Linked DNA regions of Cricetulus griseus. The protein of the gene in region 2 interacts with the protein of the main gene of each other region in a biochemical or structural test. Links are inferred from orthologs where the notes say so. Each region holds a gene or a part of one and is shown on either strand. Other genes may lie near its edges.

Region 1 (3,652 bases), on a different chromosome or scaffold from region 2:
TCCTTTGCTGCTTTCAGACCACCACATGTATGGGGAGGGAGTATCTTTCCACCCTCGAACCTTCTCGGTCTGAATGGTATCTAGCTGGTGGTTACTTCAGAAGCAACAGCTTCTGTCAATGCCAGGAACTGAGAAGCCCAGGCCTCCCTGTCTTGTCCCGAATGCCCCAGTCTTTCATCACTTACGAGTTTCATTACTTATTACTCAAGCCTTGACAGGGACCTCTTCACAAAGGTGATGAATGGGCCGGACTAGGGGATCTGTGAAAGCCCAAAGGTGAGGTGGGGAGTGGTAGTTTTGTGGTATTGGCCATAAAGGAGTAGACCTTCCTCAGAGGGCTCTGTTGCCTGATGCTAGGTCCTGACCCGCCTATCCAGGTACCAGGGTTCCCAAGGGACTGAGAAGGTGCACTGCACATATGGGGACATGGCCTGGGAAGCAATCCCAGGCTCTTGAAATATATTTGAGCAGAGACCCACTTGTAGGCCAGCTTTGGACAGCTTGGGAACCAAAGACAGGGAAGGCCAAGCCCTAGGAAGAGCCCTCAGTCCTGGGATGTCTAGATATAGGCTCACTGTGTAGGAGAGCCCTGCAGTTTTCACATTTGTGAGGAAGAAATGGGCATTGTTTTCCCAGAGCTAGTTGGGGATTCTGCTTCAAGAAGTGCCTGGGTCTCCTGGGAAATTCCCTGTGAACTAGGAACCAAGGCAGGGACCCCTCTCCCCAACAATACAGATTTATGGGGACATAGGCCAGAAAGGTTTTCTTGGTACCAGTAGAACAAACATCCAGTTCTATCTGAATGTGGCCTGTGATGGCTGAGTCCCTCCAGTTACCCCATCCCCCAGTGACTCATGCTGGTGGTGCCTGGTGCCGAGGCAGCCCAGAAAGGGCTGTGTGCCCCAGCAGTTGGTTGCCAGGCTGGTCATTAGGCCTGGCATCCTCATGTCAGCCCAGGAAGGGTTGGGAGTAGGAGACAAGAGCGCTTTTGACTTCTCAGGACAAACAGAGCAGCCCTGAGGGGCCTTAGAGCAACACACCCCCAAGGTCCTAGTAGAGAGGGAAAAGCTGTCATCTCCAGGCACCATTGGACTGTGAAGCCAAGCTGCTCAACTGCCCTGAATCTCCCAGTATGTCAAAGGTAGCTGGTAAGTACTGGGGCTGAGAGCACTGAAGGACTAGAACCCACCCTCTAAGACACAAGGCTTCTACTGAGATTCCATTACCTGCACCACAGGCAGTTCTACAAAGTTCTAGGATCCGCAGTGTCACTGTGGGACTCTAGCTCCTGTGTTGTGTCCTCGATCCAAGTGTAATGCCTCCGTGGCTTCCCCAGTCTCCTGAGAAGTAGGTGCAGTCTACAACATGGGGTTCCGTGCATTTCTCAAAGGGTAATTGGCTCAGCTCTCCCATTTGTTTGTAGAATGCCCCATGTGTTCAGGACTAGTGTAGTGTGAGACTCTTGTAGGCACCAGTAAAAACTCAGGGTGTGTGGAACAGTAGTATTTTCACATCTGGTTCCTCAGCCCAGCCACTAAGGGTCCACTTTGTGACTGTGTTGTCACTGGTGTAGCCTCACACTGCTGTCCACAGAATGCTTTATTGGGCCACTGCTAAAGGACATTTGGGTGCTTCTCAAGTTTGAATGACTGAAGAAAATCTGTACAATATTCACAAATGGGTTTAACATGAGCTTAAATCTTCATTTCTCCTGAAAGACTGGCTCAATGTCATTCCTCCTTAGCCTGCAGCGGTCAATTTCCCCCATTACCTCTGCTGTTCTCATGGGTGACTTGTCATGTGAGCTGTTTTCCCATCAGTGGGTTTTCTTTGGGGAGGTATCTGGTCCAAATACTTGGCCCATTTGAAATTTTCTTTTTTTTTCTTTAAAAAAATTATTTTGGCTTTTCAAGACAGGGTTTCCCTGTGTAGCTTTTGGAGCCTGTCCTGGAACTAGCACTTGTAGACCAGGCTGGTCTCGAACTCATAGAGATCCACCTGCCTCTGCCTCCCAAGTGCTGGGATTAAAGGCGTGCACCACCCCTGCCCGGCTGAAATTTTCTTGTTAAGTTGCATATTTCAGATACAAGCTCCTTTTCAAGTTAGTGTGTTCCAAGCATTTTTTTTTCAGCTCTGTGGTATTTATCTTCAGTGTCATTTGAAAGGACATGGATTTTAATATTCTGAAGTCCAGTTTGCCTGTTTTCTATTATTGAACATGATGATTTGGCATCATTTCTAAGAAAACCTTGCCCACCCTAAGGTCACCCAGGTTATCTAGATATGCTTGAGAAGGTTGACTCTGGAGTCCTGCTGTGGATCCTAGTTGGTTTATTTTGCAGAGGTAGCAGTTGTTCTAGTAATTTCTTGAAATAGTCCTTTCTCCTTGAGCTTGTTCAAGTTAGTCACCTGTGTGGGCTCCAGATACACTGATCTGTATGTCTGTCTCATACTGTCTCCTTCATGAGGCTTTGAAAGGTGTCTTAGACTAGTGTGGTCTCAGGCCTTCAACCTTTTTGTTTTCATAAACTCATCCTGGCTGCTCTGGAACCTATGCTGACGGACAGTCATAGAAGCCCCACTGGGATTTTGTCAGTCAACTGTTTGAAAGTCCTGAACTCGTAGCACTGCAGCTGGGGTCAGTGGCATGCCTGGCCATAAGAGGTAGCTTATCTCAGGCCATTGGACTAAAATGCCCCAGCAACATGCAGGACTTCACACTATGTCAAAACATCGAAAACTTCACTAATTTGAATTAGTTGGGGGTGAATGCCAAGTTGAAAATGGTTTAAAGTAAAATTACTATAAATAACTTCATAACTTTTTATGAAGGGAGGATTTTGTGAAATGACAGGGAATCTAGGATGCTCCCCCGTGGCAGGGTGCACATGGTGGGTGAGCATTGCAACTTCACGCCATCCTGCTGACCAGGCTGCTTGGCACTGTGCACTCATAGGACTCTGAGCAGGACAGGTGTTACAGCTCCTCCTAATCTTGCCTACTGTGATGACCATAGCCTTAGGCTCCTCCTGGGCCACTTCTAACCCTGGTTTAGGCCTGGGTTCCCTCCTGCTCCTTGACTGGCTAGGGTGTCCCCTGAAAAGATAAGAGGATCTTCTCTCCTGGTTTTCCCTCTGCCCTTGCACCCAGGAGAGACCACACTGCCGCTTGTGGAACAGACAGAAAAGTCCTGACACTCTGTAGTTCTTAAAGAATATGCTTCCTTCATTCTTTCCAGTCTGTTGGCAGTGGCTGGTGACTTTTGGCCATGGCCAGTGGGGATCACTGCAGAATGCAGGAAGGGATGGTATACATGTGGGGTTGGTCCTGGAGGACTGCATACTACCTGAGGACTCAAAAAGTTTGTCACCCACAGAGGGAAGTCCTGCAGGACCATCACTTTTGAGCAATTCCAGGAGGCGCTGGAGGAGCTGGCCAAGAAGCGGTTCAAGGATAAGAGCAGCGAGGAGGCTGTGCGTGAGGTGCACCGGCTCATTGAGGGACGATCACCAGTCATCTCTGGTGTCACGGTGAGGGGATGAAGCACTGGTGGGACTTAGTACTCTTGCTTGCATCTGCCCTTGGGGAGACCATGGCCCGGTAGACTTGTTAGCCCTATAAGTCTGGGGCTAACCTGGAGCCAGGAGAGGTA
Region 2 (3,652 bases):
GGGAGTTGAAGCTTCAAAAGCCACAGTTCCTCAGTTGCTGGCAGATTTACAGAATCTATGCTGGAAGAATTGGGAGCATGGGAGGAAGACTCCCAAATCTGTAACCTTCCCTTTCCTGATTAGGCCTCCAGGACACCATGCCCAGCACAGTCTTATGGATGGGTATTGCATGTTCAACCACGTGGCTGTGGCTGCCCGCTATGCTCAAAAGAAGCACCGCATTCAGAGGTCAGCAGCAAATGACAGATGGGATAGGGGTAGCATGGAATGGGGGTACTGAGGTCCTGGCTGCTCCTCTATATTTCACTTGATTCCCTTGCACAGAGCTACCCTCTCTCCTGCTCACAGGGTTCTTATCGTGGACTGGGATGTGCACCATGGTCAAGGAACACAGTTCATCTTCGACCAGGACCCCAGGTATATCACAAGTCCCACTCTAAATACCAGACTACTAACTACTTCTGTCAGGTCCAGCCGTAGGAGTTAGGAAGGAGGGAAAGGCATTCACGTTCATTGAGTTAGCCTGGAACAAGGAAACGTACTGCTTCCTGGTTGTCTGCTGTCCCTAATTACTCTGAAGCAGGAACTGTGGAGTTCCCATTTTACTGTTGGTGAAACTGATCCTTACAGGTTACAAGTCATGCAGAGAAGTAAAAAGAGGGGGGATTTGACTTGGAAGTATTCGGAGGTCTTGTCCAACAATTTACCCCCAAGCTGGAGTGGACCTCAAATTAAAACGTTGTTTATTTTTAATTATGACAGTACTTCAGACTATCTTTAAAGTTAAATAGGGGGCTGGCAAGATGGCTCAGCAGGTAAAGGTACTTTGCCTGACAACCTGAGTTTGATCCCCAGCACCCACATGGTAGAAGGACAGAGAACCAAGTCCTGTAAGTGGTCCTCTGACTTCCATATACATACCATAGCATGCACATACCCACACACATAAACAAAATCAAAATAACTTGACAGTTTATGTTTAAGCCTCGTAGATTTTTATGCATATGCAAATATTCACTATTATTAATAACATAATACCAATGGGATAATTTCCATATGCTCATTGTCAACTTTATTGGGAACACATTTACTATGTTGATGCTACAAAAGCATCTTATTCCTTGTAAAGACTGTAGAGTATTTCATTGCATTGTTGTACTTCTGGTCATTTAATCCTGGGACATTTAAGATACTTCCTAGTTTTTTCTATTTTAGACAATTCTACTATGAATAGTATTATAAATATTTAACTTACATCTTTAGGTATATCTGTATAATGAATTTCTAATAGTGGATTGCTGAGTCCGACAGATCCACATGCTTTAAGGTCTGATATATGCTACCAAACTTTACTCCAGAAGGGTGACAGTTTATCCTTTCTGTAGAAAATGATTAAGTCCTTGACACTAGGGGTATTATATTGTAAATAGTAGTTGTTTTCTCTGGCCTTCCATCCAACTGATTCCATAGAATCTGCTTGTGCTCTTGTGGCCCTTGGTCCCATCTAGATGCTTTGTTCTTTAAACATTGCTTTACTATTTTCCAGCATTTGGTGCTGACAATTGTCTTTTTCACTTCTTTCTGAGTTATCTGTTTTGCTCTCTGAAGAGCTTTAGACTTTTCTCTTTTTCCCATATGTTATCCCACAGGAATTGTAGGTCCTGTTAACTTCTCTTTAGCAGTGGGCTGACATTTTACATTGGCAGCCTTACACCTTCTATCTTTGCACATGTTCTTATATTAGATCTTTGATAATTACTTTATTTTCTCTGTTCTCTCTCAGGCTCCTATTAGATGTTAAACCTCCTGGCTTGATCCTTTATGGGATTTTGTTTTGTTTTGATTTGACTTTTGAGACCAGGTCTCTAGCTCAGGATGACCTATTGTTAAGTGGGGACAGGAGGTATTTCCCTTTGACACCCCAGGGCCAGGGCAAGTAAGTAACTGTCTAGGATTATTCTTATAGTTTTAATTTAATTTTTATTTCCCTTCTCTGCCTTTTCAGTTCTGACTTCCTGCTCTGAACCCTCAATCCTAAAGGATGGTCTGCATTTTCTTACTTTGAACTCCTGCCTCTACCTCCTAAGTGCTGGGATTATACCATGTGCCATCAGACCTGGTTTATATGACACTAGAGAGCTAACTTAGGGTTTCATGCATGCTAGGCAAACATTCTACCAACTGAGCTACATCCCCAGCCCTGTGTGGCTTTTTAAAAAGAAATCTTTACTCCTTAAAAATGACTGTCTTGCCTGCATGTATGTGTGCACTGTGTGCATGCCTAGTACCCTCGGAAGCCGAAAAAGGGCATTGGATTCCTTGGAACTTGCTTTACAGACAATTGTAAGCTGCCATGTGTGCTGAGAATCAAATGCAGGTCCTCTTGGAATAGCAAAAATCCCCTTAACTGCTGACATCTCTCCTCCTGTTAGGCTTATTTCCTGTTTTTCTATCTCTTTTTACTTTTACTCAGTGTCCTGAGAGATGGCCTTAATTCTGTTTGTAAGTCCTCCCGCTGAATTATGCACTCTGATTTTGTTTTTCTTTTGAGACAGGGTCTTACTGTGTATGTAACTCAAGCTGGATTTGATCTTATTCTCTGTAGTTCAGGCTGGCCTCCAACTTGAGACCCTTCTCCCTCAGCCTGCCCAGTGCTAAGACATGATGCTACCCTCTCTAGCTAGACATGCTTTTGATAGGCACAAGCATTTTCTTTCTCTCTCGTTTTTTTATACCCTTTCATTCCTAAGCTTGTTTTTTATAGAATAAGAATTAGCCGGGTAGTGGTGGCATACACCTTTAGTCCCAGCACTCGGGAGGCAGAAGCAGGTGGATCTCTGTGAGTTGGAGACCATCCTGGTCTACAAGAGCTATTTCCAGGACAGCCTCCAAAGCCACAGGGAAACCCTGTCTTGAAAAAAAAAAGAAAAAGAAAAAAAAAGGTATTAGAGCTGGCCTGTGGTACCACACTCAGGAGGCAGAGGCAAGCAGATCTCTGTGAGTTTGAGGCCAGCCTGGGCTACAGAGTGAGTTCTAGGACAGCCAAGGCTACACTGAGAAACCCTGTCTCAAAAAATAAACACCAATAACAACAAAAGAATTAGAAGTGCCTTAAGTTTTCTTCTATTCCATGTTGTTATGTGTCTTCATTCTGAGGCTAACTGAATTATCTTCTTGGTTCTTCTTTTTGTATCGGTGCTTTTCCTCAAATGTCTTCTTTTGGCTATTTATACCTTAAATTGAAGGGCTGGTCTTCAGGCCATGAGATTACTGTGCTGTGCTATTTGTAGATCAGTGTTCCTAAAAAGCATTTCCCTAGAATGGAAACAGAGGATGTCTGCTGATATAGATCTCAAGTTTAGGGACTGTGGGGAAAGATCCAGGCCCATTAGGTTGGATTTTGTAAATACCAGGGAAAAAAAGAATACCTCTTTTTTGGGGGAGTAGAGGGTACACATCTTTTATTTAGTTAATTTTATTTTTATTTTTATTTTTTTATTTTTTGGTTTTTCGAGACAGGGTTTCTCTGTGGCTTTGGAGGCTGTCCTGGAACTAGCTCTTATAGACCAGGCTGGTCTCGAACTCACAGAGATCCACCTGCCTCAGCCTCCCGAGTGCTGGGATTAAAAGCGTGTGCCACTACCACCCGACA

Evidence for each region.
Region 1: the proteins of Hdac6 (region 2) and Tppp form a complex in vitro, tested with the Homo sapiens proteins (2 studies listed by BioGRID). The link is inferred for Cricetulus griseus from reciprocal best matches to the Homo sapiens genes HDAC6 and TPPP.

What each region holds. Positions count from the first base shown.
Region 1 is NC_048595.1:368,690,320-368,693,971, forward strand, and holds part of Tppp (tubulin polymerization-promoting protein), read left to right. Parts: intron 1-3,376; coding exon 3,377-3,530; intron 3,531-3,652.
Region 2 is NC_048604.1:114,410,062-114,413,713, reverse strand, and holds part of Hdac6 (histone deacetylase 6), read left to right. Parts: intron 1-123; coding exon 124-228; intron 229-348; coding exon 349-417; intron 418-3,652.